3 linked regions of the Alligator mississippiensis genome follow. The protein of the gene in region 1 interacts with the protein of each later gene in a biochemical or structural test. Links are inferred from orthologs where the notes say so. Each region holds a gene or a part of one and is shown in the gene's direction. Other genes may lie near its edges. The genes, in order: CYTH2, ARF6 and ARF1.

Region 1 (7,675 bases):
TGCCAAGGAGCTGGGGCAGCGCAAGTTCCATGTGCCACCCACGGCCACCCGCGCCTCCTTCTGCTACGAGAACGAAGTGGCACTGAGTGCCTGCCGTGAGGAGGAGGGGGAGGAGGAGGAGGAGCAGCAGCCAGGGGGTGGTGGCAGTGGAAGGGGCCTGGCTAGTGACAAGGGCAAGGAGGGGAGAGCAAGCAATGGCCTGGAGGCCACGGAGATGCCCGGTGGGACATGATGGGTCAGTGGCATCAGACTGTGGGGCTGTGGAGGAGGAGGAGGAGGAGAAGGGGGAGGAGGAACGCAGCAGTGGCTGAGGAGAGCAGGGCAAAGGGGTCCCTAGGGTTCCCACACCTGAACTCTGGGCAAGGGGAACCCCCCAGCCTGTCTCCCCTGGGAAGTCAAGAGGGGAGCACCAGGGGGAGCCCAAGCCTGTCTCTCCTCTCCTTCACCCCCGAAGAAGACGGGGGGAACCTAATGCTAATGGGACAGCCCCGCCCCGCCCCATCTCTCACCTGCCCATGGGCAATATCCAGCCCCTGCCCCAGAGCCCAGCCTGTACAGACCCAGTCCCCTCTACACCCACTCCTGGGATTGTCAGGGGTTGGGGCCCCCTGTATGTAACTGGGGCTCATTGCTGCTACCTCCTTTGAGGACACTGCTGAGCTGTCCCGCTCCCCCAGCAGCCCCATCCCCGTCTTGCTCTGGCTTTTAATGGGGGAAAAGATGCTGTTAACTGGGGGTGGCACCCCCTGAAAGCTCCCCCCCTTCCCTCCCCCCCCTCCCATTCTGCTAGCCACAATGCCACTTTAGTAGCCATGTTGGATCCAGCTGCTCCCCTGCCACTTAGGATGACTGAGGATCCCCAGGGAACTGGCAAGGCTTAGGGGTCTGTTCCTGGGGGATGTGGTTGTTGGGGGCCTTGGGGTCCAGAGAGGGCCCAAGCCATTAAAGAAAAGCCACATAGCACCACTGCCCCCTGCTGGCTGGGCCTGCAGCCACCCAGCTGTGTGTCAATAGCCCCATAGTGCAGTAGCACAGAGAGGCAGGGGCCTGGGGGAGTCAGGGCAGATCTCCCCCTCCGCCCCCCACATCCCCAGATCACCCAAGTGATGCAGATAAATACAGAAATAAAGAGAGAATTTGGAGAATTCTGGTCTGTATTATTCTTGCCAAATGAGGTGTATGGGCCTCATTCCCTCCATGCCAACCCCTCACCCACTCCATTGGCTGGATGCCTTCCCACACTGGGAAACCCCAACTCCAGGGGGCCCTGGCTCACACCCAGCCCTGGCATCACCTGTCCCAATCATTGGCAGGGCATGTTTGGGTGATTTCTGGTCTGGGCCTGAGATCCCAAAACACACAGGAGGGGCCGATTCTGAAGCATGTTTACATCAAGGGATTTGCTAGATGGAGACCTGGACAGATAGCTAGAGGCATGTGTGGGGAGGGAGGGATGAATGAATGCATGGACACTCTGTGTGGCCTGGTACTGGAGAGGGCTGTGAGGGGGTGGCTGAAGTGGGTAGAAGGCTGTGGGAATGGTTGACTATCTGCATGGGACAGACCATGAGCTGTGTAGGGCTTGGAGGCTGTGTGGGCCCAATGAGTTGTGGGGTGCCTGGGGCACCTTTGTGGGGCTGGCGGGCTGGAGCAAGGTGTGGGACAGGGTGTTAGGGTGGCTAGTGGGGATGTGGGGTCAGCAGGCTACAAGGTATTTGCACGGGTTGTCGGGAGCTGTGGGGATGACGGGTGGTGACGTGTCTGTGTGGAGGTGCTGAACTGTGGGCAGCTGTGGGGCTGCAGGATAGGGCAGAGGTGCCTGAGGCATGTGGGGCTGCAGGGTGATGATGTTGGGGGCTGTGGCACATCTGTGGGCTGGCTTTGGGGTGCTGGGGCCAAGCTGGCCTGTGGGCGCTCACTGAAAGACCACGCTGGCTGGGCCAGGCCAAGCTGCTGGGGTGTGTGTGAAGGTCAGAGCAGGGAGGGACAGCTTGGAGCCCAGCTGGGAGCTCACATTAATCTGACACAGTTTCAGTCGCTAATCCCAGCTGCTTAGCGGCTGCCCCAGCAGGGGAAATGGGGCCTATTAACTTGCTCCCCCCATGCCCCCAGGCCCAGCCCAGCCCCTGCCCCATGGTCCCCACCCTACTGGCCCCTGCATTGTCCCAGCCCATGGGGCACAGCGGGTCAGAGAGGGCTGCGCTCTGCTCTCAGCACCAACTCCAGACCCTGACACTCTCAAGGTGAGGCCATGTCACAGGTGTCTCAGCTGACACCCTGGCCGGCTGATAAACCCAGAGAGGAACATGCTCTTACGCCCAAAATAACCCCTCAAGAGCCCTATTCTTAGCCTATCGGGTTGGCAGGGAGGGGGTGAGAGTGGTGCTCTCTGACAGGAACTATCCAGCGCTAAGAGGTGGCTTCCAGGGGGAGATCAGGATTCAGCCCTGACCCTGCTGCCATCAGGGTGTGACTTCAAATTGATTTCAAACTGGCCCAGCAGAGCTGACATCAGGATCTGGCCTTGATCTCACTGCAGTTAGGGGGTGACTCCAGCTTGGTCCTTGGGGGTGGCTGAGATCAGAATCAGGCCCTCCACATCCCTCCCCCTCTGGGGATGGATCCGGACAGCTCAGCCTGGGTCAACACTGTCAGGAGATGGGTAATTCAGCTTAGCAGATGTCTGGAGCAAGGGAGCCTTTGGGCTTCCTGCTCCTGGGAAGCTGCTCCCAGATAGTGCCTGATGCAGGAGGAGCAAGGTTTAAGTAAGATCTAGTAAGGTGGGGAGAATCCACACCGGAGTCAGCAACCTTGGGAGAGACCCCCATGCTGGCAGGCAGCCAGCTGTGAGCTGCAGGGTGTGCATCCACTGCTGTGCACCCAGCCCTGGCTTCCAGCTCGTACTCCCCACCTGCTAATCCCTCCTCTGGGTTTCCCCACTGGGCTCCTTCCAACTCATCACCAGTGACAAGAGGCTCGGCACGACAACCAGAAAGGCAGGAAGTGCAGACGAGGATCCACTGCAAACAGTGCCCTTGCCTCCCGACCCCCAGCCCCTACCACCCCTTGACCTCCCCCTGGTACTGCCAGTGCCCCTCCCTCCTGCCCCACAGCACTCCCAGGACCCTGGTTCCTCCCCCCACACCAGGTACACACCGCATCAGCCTAGCCCCGGAGGGTGGCCACTGGGATCTACAAAGCCTAGGGGATGCAGTTCACCCCCATGTCCCCATCAAGAAAGTTAGGCAGGGCCCTGGCCAGAACCCTGCCAATTTCGGTCCCCCTCTGCGCGATCACCCCCCTGCAGCTAGTTTCAAGCGCCCCCTGGTGACTGCCACTGGGAAAGACAGCAGTGCTCCAAAAATGACCTGATCCCCAGCATCTCTTAGTTGGGGGTGTGGAGGGAGTGTAGGGGAGGTTGAGGAGAGGGTGGGAGTGCATTGGTGGGTTAATGGGGCTGTGGGTGGGAGGGGGATGAAAAGGGCGTGGGGGTGGGGTGTGGGGATGGAGGCTGAGGGCCTGGGAAGGGGAAAGTTTTGCTGGGCTGTTCAATGGAGGGGGGATGGGGTAAACTGGGGAGAGAGGGCTGGGAGTATGAGGAGAGCTGGGGATACATACTTGGATGTGGGGAGGGATGGCAGGTACAGGGCCTGGGAAAGGGGAAGGGGTGATGGAGGGGGCTGGATGGGCAGGGGGTGGGGGCAGCTGGGTGCAGTGGAGGGGTTGGGGCTGGTGGGATGGTGATGCATGCATCAGTGAGTGGGCAGCCGAGGGTGGCTGTGGGGGTATCGGGGAAGGCAGGAGGGGTGTACGCAGGGGGTATATGGGGCATACTTGAGCTGTACATGGGAGTGTACATAGGGGGGTGTGCTGGCTGTATACAGGGATGCACATAGGGTATATGTGGGGTATGCATGGGATGTGTGTAGGGGTGTATATGGCAATATATGGGCGTACATGGGGTGTGTGTCAGGGTGTACATGGGGTGGGCCAGAGGAGTGACAACCCCTCCCCCCTTGCCCTCCCAGCTCACTTTAGCCCAGGGTTATATATTTATTTATAGTTGTATTTTATTTATGAGTCTGATTTATTACTGCTAAGAGGCCAGGGATTGACCCTAGCAACGGCCCAGACCCCTCTAGTGCCTTAGCAACGGCTCAAGCCCCGCCTGCTCCCTATCGAGTCCGTCCATTGGGCGCAGTTAGGGCAGAGGCCAGCGAAGCTCATCTCTTATTGGTTCCTTTGTGTATCATTCATAGTGACTGGCGGCCCAGGAGCAGCCCCTGGCTATTTAGCGTTCCTGTTGGCTCTTTGGACAGTTAATCCAAGCAGAGGCGGGCTTGTTGGCAATCTCGAGCACTAAATGACCGGACTTCCTGTCAACAAGTTTCAGAGCCTACTAGTGTACAATTTTCCTATACTTCATTGGTTCATTTTTCTGTCAATCTCCGCGGTGGAGCAGGTTTTGTACGAACCCTTGTCCCCCATTGGCTGCTCTAGCTATCAATCTTAAATACTGCCCGTTCATTTGCCATCCGTCCCCAGCTATTGGTTGCTGCCGGTGGGAAGGGGTGGGGATTGCAAGAATCGCGCTTTCCCATTGGCTATTGCTCGGGGAGGAGGCGGGCTATTCCCCGCAGTGCTGGGCCGGGCGGACACGAGAGGAGGAAGCAGGCGTTGCAACGGGAGAGCCGAGGAGACTAGACGCAGCGACAAAGAAGCTCCCGCCGGGGCTGGGGCGTTTACCATGGAGGACGGCGTCTATGGTAGGGGCCTGGGCCTGCCCGCCCGCGTGGGGTGAGCCGTACCATTGTATGGGGGTGTGGGCGGAACCATCCGTGAGGAGGGGCCGGGCCGGGCCAGGCCATTTCCTGCTTTGAGGTGGGGCCGGTGGTGCTTGGGCCGGACCGTTCGCCTCAGTCTTGGAAGGGGGTGGGCGAGACCATTCCTGTTGTGCTCGGGGGGGGGGGGGCTGAACCATTTCGTTCTTTAAGGGGGAGGGCGGGGGGGGTCTCTGGGAGGGTGGGACTGAGTAATTTTCTTACCTGTGGAGGGGTCGGGGGTATGAACCATTCCCTTCTCTGTTATAGGGGGCTGTGAGCTGAACCATTCCCTATGTTGGAGAGGGGAGAGAAGAGGGTGGTCTGTGCCATTCCTAGTGTGGGGCAGCGCAAACCGTTTTCTCCCATATGAAGGGGAGTGGAACTGCACCCCGCCCTTTTCTAAGAGTGTTTCTTGGCATGTATGGGGGGTTGGGCTAAACCATTCAATTCCCTGCTGAGGGAGGGAAAACCTGCAGGTTGAACCATTTCCTTCCTAATTGCATAGGGTCATGGATTGAACCATTTTTTCCCCTGTGTTGGGTGGTTGGGGATGAACCATTTTCTCTGCCCCCAACCAAACCTCTCCATTGACTTCCCCCTCCCCCCATGATGGGGGTGCTGGGTCCTTGCCCTTCTGAAGGTCCTGCCCCATCACTTAGCCCCACCCTTGATGTTTAGTCCCATCACAGCCCCTGCCTGTTGGCCCAGGAGGCCAATCAGGTACTTGGCTTGGGAACTCCTTGGGGCAGGGACCCTCCCCTGGCTGGTGCTGCTGTAGCACTGGGATTGGGGCCCAGCCCCGCCCTGGCAAGCACCTGCCCTGGGGTGCCCCTCCTCCTGCCCCATCAGGAGCACAAGCAACATGGCCACTGCCTCCTGCCCATGCTCACTTCCCAGCTCCCCTCCCTTCAGCAAGGATGGTGTGGCTCCTGCCATCTGCCTGGTGCATGCTCTTGTGTTGCCATAGTGATGCCCCTGTTTTTGGGAGGAGGGCAGGGGGGCACTTACGAATGAGTTCGCAGATAAACCACGCATCTCCTCCTCCCTACCGTGTTCCCACGGGAGCCTGCTTGTCCTAAGACCTTGATGAAATCCAGCAGGGACGTGGGCCTGGCTGGGCCCACCTGCATCCACCAGTCCAGCTTCCTGTGGTGACAGACGGCCACGGCACCTAGTCCCACAAGCTCTAGCCTCGGACCAATTTAGTCCCAGGCTGTCACTGGGAGGTCATTCCAACATCTCACTGCACCCCTGCATAGGGACCTACCTCTCCTCTTCCTTGAGCCAAACCAGCCTTGATCACTTTGCTCTTGTGCTTTGGTATCTCTTCTGCATTGAGTCATTTTACTTTAAATGCTCTCCAGAGGTGCCTTTGCTGACAGCGGTTTGGTTTGCAAGGAACGGGCTTGCTGCTGTTTGGTAGAGGAGGGTGCTGAAGGGGCCACTGTCCAAGCTGTTCTCAATGATTACACCCATATTATTGAGTTCCTTTAGTTCGTGTAGTCTAGACCAGGGCTGTCCAGCTGGTGGCCCACAAGCACAACCAGCCCTCCTCTTGCTTCTGCTTCCTGCTCCATGTGGGTGTCATGGTACCAGGGGTGTGGATGTCACTGCCCAGGCTGCCCACATGGTGGGCAGGGACCCTCACACTGCAAAGGGGTGGACCCCAGAGGACCCATGTGATGTGTGGCCCCTGGCTGCTCAGGAGTTGCACAGCCGTGTTCTAGATTATGGATTGCCCCAACATAAGTAATAGGGCCAAGAGCCGGTATCCTGAATCACAGAGATGCTGGGAAGCAGGCAGGGGTTGAACTGTGTAAATAATTGATATAATTTTTTGGTTCACTGGTCAATTGATTCATGAAATGGAAGCAATTCATTTAGGACTTGTGGTGTGTGGGGTTTTGAATGCAGTTTAAATGAACTTTGGAGCCAGCCCCCATTTGAAAAAATAATTAGAACTTACTGAATGGGTCAAACCAGACCTCTGGACTCTTTCCTTTTTCTTGTTATTTTTCTACTACAAGTGAGACAAATGTTGCACCACTGACTTCCCTGCAAACCCAGGACTGGTATAGCTTCACCCAAATATGCCTTTTTCAGGGAGTGAAATATTCAAGGTAAAGCATTTCCCCAGCAGAGGACAGGGTGCTGGCGGAAGCCAAATGGATGGGAGCTGCCTGGTCATCAGGACACAGCCTTTGCAGTGGTAATAGCTGCATCAGTAGGAAGCAGCCAGGTCAAGCCAGGATTTTATCCATGTGATTAAGGCGCACCAATGTCTATAGCCAGTGGCACCCAAGGTTGTAATATGGCTGGTATCACATCTGGGCATTTTGACTCTCCAGCCTGAGTGACCAGGTCTCCATTTGCACTTGGAACAAAGCAGTGGCCTTTAGCAAAAATCCAAAGAAGGGCTCGGCCCATGCTCCTGGAGTCATAGCAAGATCCTCAACCACTGCCACCATTCACCAAGCACCGGCTCCTGGTTAATGATTGCTTCCTTGGGGTAATAATTTACAACAATGCAGGGAATGGGACTCAGTGACCCAAGAGTACCCTGCAATCCTATGTTCCTATGTGGAAAACGCCTAGAAGACTTAGATGAGATGACTCTTGTTGGTCCAGCTATCTAGTTGTGAGAGATGTTAGACAAGCTTTTGGGCACATTGTGCCCTTCTTCAGGACCAAACTCAACCAAGAGGGCACTTTGTGCACAAAAGTGTGTCAGTTGTGTCCCAATGGTACAGTTGTTTGATCAAGGGTACAACAGTACTCCAGCCCTAGTGAGGATGCTGCACTAGTGACCCCTCTCAGAAACCACGCAGAAGAAATGAATAACTTGCCAAAGG
Region 2 (7,536 bases), on another chromosome or scaffold:
CCAAGGGTGGATGCCAAATTTGCAATGCCTGGGTACTGCTCCGGTTCCAAACCCACAGCACTTCTGCTCGAGCCAGTTAGGTCATGGGAAAAGTGACTGGGTGGCAACCCTTTGGAGTACTATGTCTGCACATGCACGGTATAATCCACCCAGTTAGGTCGCACCTCTCAGTGCAGCTTAAGCCTTGTGAAATGCTGCGTCCAATTTTGCTCCTCCAATGCCTCCGATAAAGGGCAAGCACTTGAGATCTTCTGGGGGCTACCAGGTCAACCCTAGATATACATGGCTGGAAAGGATCTCAGGAGAGTCTCAATGGTCCCTCCCCTGCACTGATCCTACTAAGAATCCAGGGCAGCTGTCTAACTTGTTCTCAAAAAACTTCCTCTGAGGGTTTCACAACGTCATGCCAGAAAACATGTTGCACTGCTTCACCACCCTTAGAGAAAGTTCATGCTATCCAGCCTAATTCTGTGCTGCAAATTAAGCCACTTTCTTCTTGCCCTGCCAATTTTGGGCATGGAGCATAATCAATCATCTTTTTAACAGCCTTCTGAATTCTGAAAGGCTGATCAGGTCTTTTCTAGACAAACCAGTTTCTTCAACCTTTCCTTTTAAGTTGGCAGAGGAGAGCCACGCGCATGATCAGAGGGCAGGAAAACAGACCTTATGATGACAGGCTGAGAGCCCTGGGACTCTTCAGCTTGGAAAAGCGCAGGCTCAGGGGTGATCTGGTGGCCACCTATAAGTTTATCAGGGGTGCTTATCAGGATCTGGGGGAAAATCTGTTCACCAGAGCGCCCCAAGGTCGAACGGTCACAAACTCCGCCACGACCGATTCAGGCTGGACATAAGGAAAAACTTCTTTACTGTCTGAGCCCCCAAGGTTTGGAATAGACTGCTGCCAGAGGCGGTTCAAGCACCCACTTTGAACGCCTTCAAGACACATTAGGATGCTTATCTTGCTGGGATCCTATGATCCCTGCTGACTTCCTGCCCCTGGGGCAGGGGGCTGGACTCAGTGATCCTCCGGGGTCCCTTCCAGCCCGAATGTCTATGAAATCTATGAAGTTATGATGGCAACACTTTTTTTTTTTGCGGTTGCTGCTTTCTTCTGGACTCCAGTCTCTTTACATCCTTTTTAAAGCGTGACTTAAAGCGCACCAGTATTTCATCTGAAGTCTCCACCCACACCAGTACAGTAGAATAACCACCTTCTGTGGTGGCCATTCCTCTTAATACAATGCAGGATGAAATTTGCCTGTTATGCAACAAAATCACATTATTAACTTATGTTCAGCGTACGCTCCATTATAACCTTGAGATCCTTCTTGGAAATACTGCTGCCTATCCAGTTAGTCCCCATTTTGTATTTGTGCCCTTGCTTTCTCCTTCCATAGCATGCTGCACTTACCTTTATCCCATCTTGGTGCTTGCACACAATTTCTCTCTTTATTACGTTCATTTTGATTTCTGATCATGATCTTGAGAGCACCTGAAACACTTTACAGCTTGGTAAGACTGACAGCTTTATAACTGCCCTCTCGATTGCATCATTCAGGATGTTAATGAAAATAGCCAATGGAACTTGGCCCAGGACAAAGGGAAGTAAGACCCCACTGGAAATATTCTCGTAGTTTGACAGTGAAACATTGATAACTATCTTTTAAGTGTGCTTTTTCAACCGTCTAACAATGACTTCACGTAGAAGGCAGGGTAGACACGCCTTACAGACCAGAGGTTCTCAACCTTGCTGGACTCAAGGCACCCCACGTTGGATGCGAGACCCCTCTGTGTAACTTTTGCCACTTGAGCAGCACCTACTTTCAAAAACGGATTCATACATTACTCCCTTTCATGCAAAGGGGCTTAGCAGTGGGAGTGTGGGACAAACAGGGATAAGCCTGTGGCACCCTTCAAAGGATCTGGCAGCACCCCAGGGTGCCCTGGTATCCTTGATGTAGCAGGCAACAGTCCTTCTGGATCATAGTGCATGTGTGAGAGGTCACCAGGACTTTTGACACACACATCCAGAGAGGAGTTTGGAGGAGGGGAGGCTGGCCAGACCTTCTATCCCCCCACTTTAGTCCATTAAGACAGTATCCAAAGTCCAGACCTTCGGTGCTTCAATAGCTGTAGTTACACCTGCATCTAGGAATCAAATTCAGGTCTCCCATGTGGGGGACAAAGATTGAATCACAACTGTGGGTGCACTATGGATGAGACTCACCCTTATAGCCTAACTCAATAAGATGTATATATAAAGCACTAGCTTTCATGAACTCAAGTTCACTTCATCAGACGCTGTGAAAGGACAGCACAGAGCAGCATATAAACTGGACTTCACATAGACCACGCTTCCCGCACGTGCTCAGGAGAACGTCTTGTCACAATGCTAAAAGCTTCACTATAGCCCCAGCGCATCACATATGCCGCTTCCCCTGGACCCATTCCCTTGTCAGACAAGGAAATTAGATTTGGCTGACACAATCCATGGTCACTGAGTCCATGCTGGTGGTCGGGTTGCCAACCTGCCAGGATTGCCCTGGAGTCTCCAGGAATTAGATATAACTCTCCAGGAGACTGCTGAGAGTCACCTGGGACATAAATGATAGGGCATTCATTAAAATATGCATTAAATGTTTAATCTGATTTATATAGTAGTCTAGTGGGGTTTTAAAATGTAATAGTAATGTGCATTTGCCTTCCTGATGTAAAGTCTACGCACCATAATCTATAAGTGGTATACACAAGCACATACGTGTTGTGTTGTGAGCATGACGGCATTCTGGAAACCTCCCAAAATAGATTCGGAGTTCATAACCCAGGCTGGTGGGATGGGTTGGTTTAGGTTTTACTTGATCCACCTTAACCTCTGCCTGGTGCTTCTAATCAGTTCTCAACATTCACAGACTCATGGCAACCCTTGGTAGACTCATGGCATCCCTTGATAGAGTCAGTGCCCCTTGATAAACTTGCAGCACCCCTTGATAGTCATAGAAAATGAGGGTTGGAAGGGACCTCAGGAGGTCACATCTAGTCCAACCCCCTGCTCCAAGCAGGATCAGCCCCAACTAGATCATCCCAGCCAAAGCTTTGTCGAGCCGGGTCTTAAAAACCTCCAAGGATGGAGAGTCCACCACCTCTCTGGGTAACCTGTTCCAGTGTTTTACCACCCCCCTAGTGAGGGTTTTTCCTAATATCCCTCAACTTCCCTTGCTGCAACTTGAGCCCATTGCTCCTTGTCCTGTCATCTGCCAGTCCAGCTCCTTCCTCTTTTGAGTCCCCTTCAGGTAGTTGAAGGCTGCTATTAAATCCCCTCTCCGTCTCCTCTGCTCTAGACTAAATCACCCCGCGCCCTCAGTCTTTATAAATCACATGCTCCAGCCCACAGACCATTTCTGTTGCCCTCCGCTGACTCTCCCCAGTGTGTCCACATCCTTTCTGTAGCGGGGGGCCCAAAACTGGACACAGGACTCCTGATGTGGCCTCCCCAGTGCTGAGTAGAGGAGAATAATCACTTCCCTCGGCATGCTGGCAACGGTCCTACCCAAGCAGCCCAGGATGCCGTTAGCTGTCTTGGCAACGAGGGCACACTGCTGGCTCATCTCCAGCTTCTTGCCCACTGTCACCCCAGGGCCTCTTCTGCAGAGCTGCTGCCCAGCCAGGCACCCCCAGCCCCCACCGGTGCAGGGCATTGCTCCGTCCCAAGTGCAGGACTTTGCACTCGTCCTTGTTTAATTCCTTTTGACCCAATCCTCCAAGTTGTCTAGGTCACTCTGAATGCTAGCCCTGCCCCCGTGTATCTGCTACTCATGACATCTCTGACAGACACGTGGCACTGCTTGTCAGACTCAGGGCACGGCTCAGAGGCCAGGTCTCAGTTGTCACTGTGTGCTGCAGGAACACAGGAGACTAGAGCCAAGAGCTGGGGACAGGCTGGCTTGGACACTACGGACCGCACTGGAAATATGTAGGTCGATGTTGTGCCCGGCGTGGCCCAGCCCTGCGTCCCCCACGTGGCTCGGGCCCGCGCGGCCTGGCCCTTTAAGAGGACCCCGGGGCACCCCCGCGCGCAGCTGCTGACGTGGGATCGCGTGGCGCCTCTCCCCATAGAAACCACACCCCAGCCGGTGCGCGCATGCGCACACCCTCCCTTTAGCCCCCTCCTTCCCCAACTGAGCAGGCGCAGCCGCAGCAAGGCGGAAGTCGAATTTAGGCGGCGCCCGGCTCTGCGCATGAGCAGCGCGCGTCCCGGGAAAATTACGCGAGCCAAGGCCGCTCCCTTGTGTTCCGGTTGCGCAATGCCGCGCAGGCGCCCTGCCCGCCTTCCTCCTCCTCCAGCAGGCTTCGCCCCACCCGAGTGACGTCAAGCGCATGCGCACACCCCAGCGGGGGCATCACCGTTGGCGCGTCCCTCTCCTCCGCATGCGCGGTGAGGCCCAGAGCCGCTGCACGCATGCGCGGTGCGTCTTGCGGCCGGGCGTGCGTGGGCGCGGCGCAGGCGCAGTGCGCTCGCGGAGGGGGAGGGGCCGCCTCATAACGGCCGGTCCGGCCGGGCGGGCGCGTGGTGCGCCTGCGCGTTGCGAGCTGAGGGGAAGTGAGGCGGGCTTTTCCGGCGGCCTGAGGGGAGCGGCGGCGGCAGTGGCAGGTAACGGGCTGCTCCGCGAGGCCGGGTCGGGCCCCTCACGGGCGGGCGCTCACCTTGTCTCTCGGTCCCTCCGCAGGCAGGAGCCGGTGCCGGCTTCCATGAGCTGAGGGGCCGCCGGGTGCCGACGGGCTAAGCCGGGCCTGGCCTGGGACAGCGGCCCACGCCCCCCCACCCCCCTTGCTGGGCCGCGCCCGTGAGGAGCCCCCTCCCCCCCTTCCTCCCCCCGCCCCTCCCCCACCCCGGGGCCCCGTGGATGCCGCCGAGATGGGCAAGGTGCTGTCCAAGATCTTCGGCAACAAGGAGATGCGGATCCTGATGCTGGGGCTGGACGCGGCGGGCAAGACCACCATCCTGTACAAGCTGAAGCTGGGCCAGTCGGTGACCACGATCCCCACGGTGGGCTTCAACGTGGAGACGGTGACGTACAAGAACGTCAAGTTCAACGTGTGGGACGTCGGCGGGCAGGACAAGATCCGGCCCCTGTGGCGGCACTACTACACGGGCACGCAGGGCCTGATCTTCGTGGTGGACTGCGCCGACCGCGACCGCATCGACGAGGCGCGCCAGGAGCTGCACCGCATCATCAACGACCGGGAGATGCGGGACGCCATCATCCTCATCTTCGCCAACAAGCAGGACCTCCCCGACGCCATGAAACCCCACGAGATCCAGGAGAAACTGGGCCTGACGCGGATCAGGGATAGGAATTGGTACGTGCAGCCCTCCTGTGCCACCACGGGGGACGGACTCTACGAAGGGCTGACGTGGTTAACGTCCAACTATAAATCCTAATGGCGGGCGGGGGGGGACACGCACGCGCGCACACATACAAATGAAACTCTTTTAGGCTATGGAGAATTTAAGGAAAATGAATAAATAAAGAAATAAAGAATTAACCCACGTGGCTTCCCAGAAGACCAGTTCTCGGCAGAAAAGCAAAGCATCCATAGGATTATGATCACCTCTTCTCCCACAACCGCCCTTTTCTTCGACACACTGACTGGATTCCTATTTTAACTCTTCTTGCTTGGCATTAGGATGCTCTAATCCTCAAATGTGACATGAACACAAGCACTAGATGCTATGGCAGACTTCCAGCAAACAAGGGGAAAAGACACGTTGTAGATTTGCTAAGTAACTCTTTTTTTTTTTTTTTTTTTTTCATTCTTTCTTGACTACCCTCTTTTTTTTTTTTTCCACCCCCATTCCTCTGGGGTGGGAGGAGTAAGGGTACCTCTGGGTGTATGCTTTCTGGCTCTTTTTTTTTCTTTGAATTGCTGTAGATTGCTACTTTCTTGCATTCATGCAGAATATGTTGATAGGTCTATTTCATCTAGTAAACTAAAAATGATTGCTTAAAATCAAACCGCAGTCTGTCTTTTTATATGGAGGACTTTTTTTAAAAAAAAAAAAAAAGTTCTGCTGATCTGTAATTAGTGACTTGAAATTTTGTCTTTTTCATCTCCAAGACTAATATGAAATAAAAAAAAATGTTTGCCTACAGCAGCAGGTAGTGAGAATACCATTGTAATGCGTTCAAAGTGTATATCAGGTGTAATGTTAACTAGGTAATGTAAGAACTGCTTGAAATGTCAGCTGTGAAGTTCTGAACCATACATCATGCATGAATAGGGATGCAAGTAGGTCCCATACAGCATAGCAACCATATAGTGAGTAAGACGTGAATGATGTAATAGTTTCAGGGTATACTCCTATTCAGTTCCTGTTGCATTGCAGCTAAATATCACTGACTCTTGTGATCATAATCAGTTACACATCAGACTCCCATTTCAATGCAAGAGATCTCCAGAAAATGTAGCAATAATGTGATGATTTTTACTTAAAATCAAAACTGTGGGCAAAAATCAGACCCTGACTTCCTTGTCTTGCAGTACAGGAAATGTTTGTGTTGACTCCTTCCCTCCCCCCCCTTGCCTTATGTGATTTTTATGTAGCTTTAAAGGAGCTGCAGAGAAACAACTTCTGTTTCTGTACCATAAACACTCAAGTAAGAAAGCTCACTCCTAAGCTTTTAACTGAAAGGTGTTTTTTTTTTTCTTGTTTTCTTTTTATTTTTTTTAATGCTTGAATAATTACCATTTAGAGGAAGTGATTATCAGTTTAGTTTTTGCAAGACCACAAATTTTAATTAATGCAAGTAGCTGCAAATGGCCTTAGCCCTCTGTTCCAGTAGCATGTTAATATAATTCTGTATGAAAGGATCTCCATTGGCTGTCCGAACTTAAATCCAGTGAGTAACTGCTCAGTCAGGGTGGGGAGAAGAGTGAGTATATGACTATGAATGTAAATCTCCATATTTAGGTCTTAAAGGGCAAGCAGCTCATTTGCTGTATCGCAGTTTTCAGATGCCTGTGACTGGCAAAAAAACCAAGTGTTTGAGTAGGTATGAAATGAGTTCAATCAAGTATTAATACTAGGTGCAAAAAAAAATTGTAAAGCAGCTGGTTCTTATTCAGCCTTAAAGATTAACTTCAGATTTCCTCAAGGAGTTAAAGTCTATTGGGGAATTCTAGGAATGTATGCTACAAAACCAGAAGAAAATGGCTTTTCTCTTTTTTTTTTTTTCTTTTTTTAGGGTATTAGATTCACATTTAAATTGGGGCATTACACTACATTTTTGCAATTTTAACTCTGCATGTTAAATATAATGTACATGGAGCTTTTTACCAAAGATGTATGGGAAGATTAAAAATTGAGTGCTTAAGGCCACTTGGAAAAAATTGGTGATTAGAAAATGGCTCTAAAGAGGGACACAATTGGTGTGAATTGCAAATCGCAATGAAAGGGTTCTTGATGCTAGAAAATGGAGCAGTGATTCCTAAAGAAATCTGTGTAAATGAAAAACCAATTGGAGAAGCTAGCTAAAA
Region 3 (6,977 bases), about 180 Mb from region 1:
CCGAGCCGATGCTGGGCAATCCTAGTATGCAGAGACTTGTTCCTAAAACACAGAACACATCAAACAACTGGCGTGTTTCTTTGATGACCATGTGAAACAGCAGTGACAAAGTTAAAATAATCCTTTACAAAAAATGTTTCCTCGGTTCAATGATTTCATAGATTTTATAGACATTTGAGCTGGAAGGGACCCCGGAGGATCATCGAGTCCAGCCCCCTGACCCATGGGCTGGAAGTCAGCAGGGATCATAGGATCCCAGCAAGATAAGCATCCAAATGTGTCTTGAAGGCGCTATGTTCTTAAAAGTAAGACTTCAATTCCCCCTATTTATGCAACTTACACACTATTTGCATTCGTTCACCACCAACAACAGTGAAATTTGACTTCTCGGTTTTGTTTTCTCTTTAATAACTATATGTCAGTTGTTGCCAAATCTCACCACAATCCCTGTTTCCTGAAAGCCCCAGTTCAGAAGTCGTGTGTGAATGCTTCAGATCTCTGCTTTCCTCTTAAAAAAAGAAGTTTCTAGGCCTCATGGTTGCAGAGAACAGCATGGAAATGTGACCCAGACGTATCTTAAAGGTACCAAACCTAGAAAGCAAATACAAATAAGCTCAAGGTTATTATTATTATTATTATTATTGTCATTTTAATTACTATTTTTAGACCGATTTCATGATCTCTTTAAACCTGACTCATGATGTAACATTTGGGACCAGCAGTACTGCTTTCCATGTATCTGACACCTGTCTGAGGTCCTGCAAGCACTTTCAGATCACTTTCATAGATCCATAGATGTTAGGGGCTGGAAGGGACCTCAAGGGAGGTCCAGCCCCCCTGCACTTGGCCAGGAAAGACCGCTGGGGTCAGATGGTGCACATCAAGTCATTTTTTAAAGATCTCCAGGATAGGTGATTGTACCACCTCTGGGGGGAAATAAGCAATCTCCAGATGAGGAAACTGAGGCACAGAAAAGTGAAGTAACTTTGCACCGAGTTCACTCACACAGGTGGTAGGATCAGAGCCCAAATGTCCTGATTGCTGGGCTGTTGCCTTTATTGAGGTGTTCATGTGTAACCTGAGCACTGGTAACAACTGTAGGGAAAGCCGATTAAGTCAGGCCTTCTTAAATTTGTACACAGTTGTTTCCTAGACAGCTTATCTTGGCGACATGCTCCCTTCTCTCCCTGATTACATGGGCATCCTCTGCTCCCATCCGCAGTCATGTAACATTGCTATAGCAACTATAGAAAATGTTTACTCAAAAAAGTTGTATTAGGCAAGTGTTTATGTCCCTTTCCCCTGCTTTCTCTGTTGTTTGGGACCTTGGTCCTCCTCTGTCCTGAGCATGCAGCTCAACCAACCCATCCTCTCCTCCTCCTGCTCTTCTGCACTTACTGCCTGGCTTCCTAACTCCACTTTCCCCTGATCCCCGTGTGACGACTGGGTTGTCTGGTCGCACTGGTTGTTCTGGTCCGTAAAGGTGCTGTCCTTGCCTTTCACCCTCTTCTGTCACTAAAGCGTCTATACTAACTCACTCTCGTTATTTCCATTGGGTTTGACAGCTCATTCTTTGCATCGGGAAGACTGAGAGCTTGTGTCACAAAAGGTGCGTCTGTGTCACCAGAAGGCGTGTGCATGTTTCCATTGGGTTGTGAGACGGACACAAATCGCAGTGTGTGCACTTTTCCCCAAAGCCTAAAACACATTCGTGGTACTATGGAGCGCGAGGCAGGTTCATGTATGTACATAGCACCACCGGATGGAGACTTTCACAAAGCATGTGTGTGTCACACCAAGCTGTGACTCATGTCTTTGTCACCCCAAGGCATGAAGTTCATCCACATCATCACAAGGCGTGCACCAGGCACCATGAGGCATGTTCAATCCATCACAGAGTCAGGGTGTCACCACGAGGTGAGCCATGTTTGTGTCACCAGAAGGCAGGCACACGTTGTAAGAAAGGGTGAAAGGGGTATGTTATAAGGCATACAACTGACTTCCCAAAGGTGTCAAACACATCTGTATCCGCACAAAGCGGGAGGCAAAGTCATGCCAGGAAGCACATACATGTCTCCAGAAAGGATGAGATGGCCATGCATAAGACTGGAAATAATTTCTTGGACCATCAAGTCCTGTCCCCAGTCCAGCCCCTCATACACGTCACAGCCACAAAGCACCTTAGGAAAACCAGGCCTGAATTACTGCAAAATGTGGGTGCCACCAATGTCCTGCCACTGGGAGACGTGATGACACTTTTAGCACACACCTATGCTTATGCATGTCATCCCAAGGCATAACGCGCATCTGTCTCACTGCAAGGTGCGAGGTGGGATCAGGTCACTGCAAGGCTTGCGTGTGCCGTCCCGGGTTGCAAGATGGGTTCGTGTTTCAAAGCACGTGTCACAAGCTGTGAATTAACGACATGTCACAATGTGTGTGTATTGCCAGCACAAGGCATTAGGCTGCCCATAAGATGTGTACCTGCCATCATCAGGAGAAAAGCATGTCACTGTGAGGTGTAAGGCAGGATCATACCCAAAGGCAGGCAGATGTCAGTATGAGGTGCAAGTTAGGTATACGTCATAAGCGTGTTCTCATGAAGTGTGACGTGGGTACATGCAACATGTAAGCAAAAGTTCAGTACGCATCACAGGATATATGCATGTCAGTACAAGGGGTACAAGTTGCAAGGTGTGTGTGTGTGTGTGTGTGTGCCTTTCACAAGATGAGTACATGACGAGGCATGTGCATGCTACCAGGGTGTTCCCTGTCACAAGAAATGCATGTGCTCCCAAGAAAGTGAGGGCGCACATATCAAAAGGCAGATGTGTATCACCAGGCCGTGAGAGACTGGTACATTATTGCAAAATGTGTGTGTCACCAGTGTAAGAATGGCATGTACAACAAGGCCTGTGTCTCGGGTACATGTCGCAAGGTGTGTGCGTGTCCCCGCGCAGTGCGAGACAGGTATACGTAGCAAAGCATGCATGTGTCATGGGTACATGTTACTGGGGAGGTGCGTGTCCCCACACGGTGTGAGAAAGATGCACTGGAGAAGGCGTGCGTATCATAAGTGTGTCGCACAGCAGGTGCGTGTCAGCATGCGGTGTGAAGCCGGTACACACAAGGCGTGTGCACGTCACCACACGTTATGAGGCAGGTACACGTGACAAGGTGTGTGCATGTCACCACAAGGTGAGGCAGGTACTCTGGTGTGTATCATAGGTACAGGTGGCAAGGTGTTTGCATGTCAACATGCGGTGTGAGATAGGTACACACAGCAAGGCACGGTGCACGTTATCACGTGGCGCAAGGCAGGTATACGTGATAAGACATGTACGTCACCACACAGCGTGAGGCAGGTGTACATGACAAGGCGTGTGCTCGTCACCATAAGACATGAAGCAGGTATGCACGACATGACATGTATGCATCATGTGGTGCGGGGCAGGTACGCATGACAAGGCGTGTACATGTCACCACACACCGTGAGGCAGGTACGCACAAGGCATGTACATGTCACCACGTGCGTACATCGCCACATGGCACGAGGCAGGTACACATGTGCTCATCACATGGCGTGAGGTGGGTACATGACACGTGTGCACATCACACAGTGTGACACAGGCACATGACACAACCTGTACATGCCACCACACGGTGTGAGACAGGCACACATGACACAGCGTGTACATGCCACCACACAGTGCGGGGCAGGCACACATGACAAGGCGTGTACATGCCACCACATGGCGCGAGGAGGGGGGGTCACATGACAAGGCGAGCTGACGTCACCACCCAGCGCGGGGCGCGTTCTGTAGCGGTGCAGCGCCAGGCCCCGCCCCTAACACCGCCCCGCGACCGTTGCCGAGGCGAGCACGCCCCCATTCCCGTCGTGCCCCGCGCGGGGCTGGCACTGACGTGGCCGCGGCGAGCCGCCATCTTGTGAGCCCGGGCGGAGAGCGGCCGAGACGCGCAGGACCGGCCCCGAGCCACCTCCGACCCGCCGCCGCCGCTGCCGGGTGAGCCGTGCCGTGCCGTGCCGTGTCCTTCCCCCCCGCCCTATCTTCCCCTCCTCCCCCTGCCCCGGAGCCCGCGGGCCGGCGCGGGGGCGGCCTGTGCGGGTGCAGGCCCGGGGTGGGGGAGGGGCGCTGCGGGGAATGGGCTGTGCCGCCCCCCCCCCCCACTCTCCCGGGGAAGGGGGAAACAGCGCTTCCTTCCCCCGCTTGGAGGGAGCCGTGGGGGGTGGGGCAGCGCCCTGCTGCCCCCCCACCCGCCCTTGCACCCGCTTGTGCAACTTCTTGTGCAACCCTCCCCTCCCCCCCCAAAGACATGGGTGACGGCCCAAAGGCACCCCGCTGCGCTCCCCTTGGTGGCTTCCCGTCATTATCCCCGTTTCACAGAGGGGAAGACTGAGGGGTAGTCAGGGAAGCAGCCACCCAAGGTCACTTTTAACAGTCTGCGGATCCTGAGGGTTTCCTGCCCTCCGCTTCCTATTTCCCCCGGCGGGGGGCACGCTCTCGACTGAGGGGTTTATTCGAGGGCTGTCCAGTGCCGCGCGTTTCTCCAGCCGGGGTGCTTCCCTCGCGGTTGCAGCGGTCGCGCCCGGCGGGACGAGCGCCGATAACGTACCTGGCTACCGCCCCAGGAGACGGCAACCTCGATTGTGCGTTGGCCGAGTTTCCTGCCTAGGGACAGCTCAAATGGATGTGGTTTTCCCCCCCTGGGACTCGGTGTGGTGAAATAGAAGAGGTGGGGGATAGGTTTGTGTTTAAAATCCGTCGCTTGGCTCGTTTCTGCTCCGTTTTTTGAGTCTCGACGCACGTCTTCAGTTCGCAGCGTCCGTGCCAGCGATGCCTGCTTAATGGATCGTGCCTCGTTTGCTTACGCCGGGCACGTTCGCTGCCTCTCCTCGCAAAATTAAAGGGCTTTCGGAGGGCTGCGGAAGTAGCCTGGCGAAGGCGTGCGCTGGGGAGACGGGATGGACGCGCAAGCTGAATCTTTACTGTGCCTTATATCTCCTGGTGCAAATTCCCTGCGGTAGGCAGTTGTGTTGAGGGTGCAAATGGGATGTTCAATACCCCTCCTGTGCTTTAATTGCATAGCGGAAGAAGGAAATAAATCAGCTGGTTGGTTGAAGTCAGGAAAGATTGTTTCCTTCTACATACCATCTCCTAACTTCTCAAACGTGTCCAGCGTGGACGCAAAGCATTATTGAGCTGTGACCTTTCCAGGGTAAAGAGAGACTTTATTCTTCTCTTAATGATGTATTTTATTAACTGTAGACCAATATCTACGTTATTTCCGGTAAATCTGATCACCGTATTGTAAGTCCATCAATGGAGAGAGAAAGTCTACTTTTCAAAATCTGTTGAAGGCCTTGTTATGGTTTAAAACCTGTAAAGGTATCAGTATCTGCAACCATCACGCTCTCCCTTAACTGATGAGCAAAGACGTTCAGGACCAGCTTCCTACTACAACAGCTGTGTTTTTGCATTATTCAGCAGTTTTTTTCTTGCCACGTGCAAGTATCTAATTTTATTTCTTGCTTCTAATACATAAAAATAGTGAGGGAATAAGGCATCACTTCTGCTGATTTCTCAAATCTAATATAGTTCTCATTCATGTGCCAATCTTTATCTGAACAGAAGCTGCTGGTGTTTTGGCTTTTGAATTTGGTGACATGTCAGCCACCACTTGCTTCCACTTATTTTCTGTTCACCTAATGTATTTATTACCATATTTGTTTGCGAATTGACACCAATGCGTTGTTTGAACTCATGTCATGAATGGTATGAGGAGCAAGTACTGCAGTTTTCAAGCATGCAAGTAGTTTGTTATTGCAAGCCAAGGCATGCGTTCTGCTTGAGTGGAAGCGAACCCGTTTTATTGTTGGGCCAACTGCAGTGTTTTTGACCTGGGCTGCACCTGTTGAATGGCAACTTAAACTACAATCAAAACGCCTGAGAGGGGCATTGACTGCCAGCCTTTAAATTGGTGATTCTCAGCCAGGGTGCTGTGGGGTACCATGCAATGTTAGCACTGTTAAGTGTGCAGACACAATTCACAGATTCATCCCAGAGACTTCAAGTAGTGTTACAAGCATTCTGGCCTGTTGTGGTCTTTCAGAGTTCTTTACAACAGAAGAATTACTATTTTTTTTCTGTAGTCAAAAAAATAAGTGAAAACTAAGAGCTGGCATTTTCTGAGGAGTGCCTTAGATTCCAAAAGGTTGAGAACCACTGTTCTAAATCAGTCTTCATCTTTTGGGCAATGGGGAGTGTCCAGCACACAGAGGAAACCCTGAATGTGTGGTTCTATGACATGTCCTTCCCCCAGTGCTGTTGGTTCTACGACATTACACCATGTGCGTGCGCGTGCACATCCCCCTAACTTTCCTGATCCTTTTTTTTCCCCCCTAAACTTATCAGTTGATAAAAAAAAAAAAAAAAAATCTAGGCTGCCAACAGTTCGAAGGTGAGTTAGTGAACTACCAAAGGCTGGTAGTTAAAAATCGTTTGGTAAAATTGTGTGTTTCAGGATTTTACTCTTAAAACAGAATTTTATCATTGCTTCTCTTGTCTTAAAATGAAGTTGGAAATAAGAACCTAGTTGGATGTAGGGTTTTCTAATAAAATTTGCAGAGGTTTTCTTGGTTTGTCATCATATGTGCTAGAGCAGTTTTGTGCCCCAAACCATAGGAATGATTTAACTCTTTGGCTTGCTAATCTGCCACAGCACAGATCCAGCCTGTGACATGGTGTTATCAAGCCTATGGGGCTCACAGATTCATAGACGTTTAGGGCTGGAAGGGACCTCATGACATCATTGGGTCCAGCCCCCTGCTCTGGGCAGGAAAGCCTGATGGGGTCAAATAGCCCCGCCAGGGCATATGTCCAGTCTCCTTTTGAAGATCTCCAGGGTAGGTGTCTGCACTACCACTGCTGGGAGTCTATTCTGGAGTCTGGTCACAT

What was found.
Region 2: the proteins of CYTH2 (region 1) and ARF6 form a complex in vitro, tested with the Homo sapiens proteins (3 studies listed by BioGRID and IntAct, with this or other methods). The link is inferred for Alligator mississippiensis from reciprocal best matches to the Homo sapiens genes CYTH2 and ARF6.
Region 3: the proteins of CYTH2 (region 1) and ARF1 are reported together in a solved structure, tested with the Homo sapiens proteins (3 studies listed by BioGRID and IntAct, with this or other methods). The link is inferred for Alligator mississippiensis from reciprocal best matches to the Homo sapiens genes CYTH2 and ARF1.

The regions. Positions count from the first base shown.
Region 1 is NC_081828.1:38,812,281-38,819,955, reverse strand, and holds the start of CYTH2 (cytohesin-2), read left to right. Parts: upstream 1-4,619; 5' UTR 4,620-4,747; coding exon 4,748-4,766; intron 4,767-7,675. Other genes in the region: KCNJ14 (ATP-sensitive inward rectifier potassium channel 14), read left to right, coding at 1-232. UniProt on the Homo sapiens protein: Acts as a guanine-nucleotide exchange factor (GEF). Promotes guanine-nucleotide exchange on ARF1, ARF3 and ARF6. Activates ARF factors through replacement of GDP with GTP.
Region 2 is NC_081825.1:297,972,548-297,980,083, forward strand, and holds the start of ARF6 (ADP-ribosylation factor 6), read left to right. Parts: upstream 1-4,527; 5' UTR 4,528-4,648; intron 4,649-4,724; 5' UTR 4,725-4,912; coding exon 4,913-5,440; 3' UTR 5,441-7,536. UniProt on the Homo sapiens protein: GTP-binding protein involved in protein trafficking that regulates endocytic recycling and cytoskeleton remodeling. GTP-bound form plays an important role in the transport of multiple palmitoylated proteins form the Golgi to the plasma membrane.
Region 3 is NC_081828.1:214,222,360-214,229,336, reverse strand, and holds the start of ARF1 (ADP-ribosylation factor 1), read left to right. Parts: upstream 1-3,915; 5' UTR 3,916-4,025; intron 4,026-6,977. UniProt on the Homo sapiens protein: Small GTPase involved in protein trafficking between different compartments. Modulates vesicle budding and uncoating within the Golgi complex. In its GTP-bound form, triggers the recruitment of coatomer proteins to the Golgi membrane.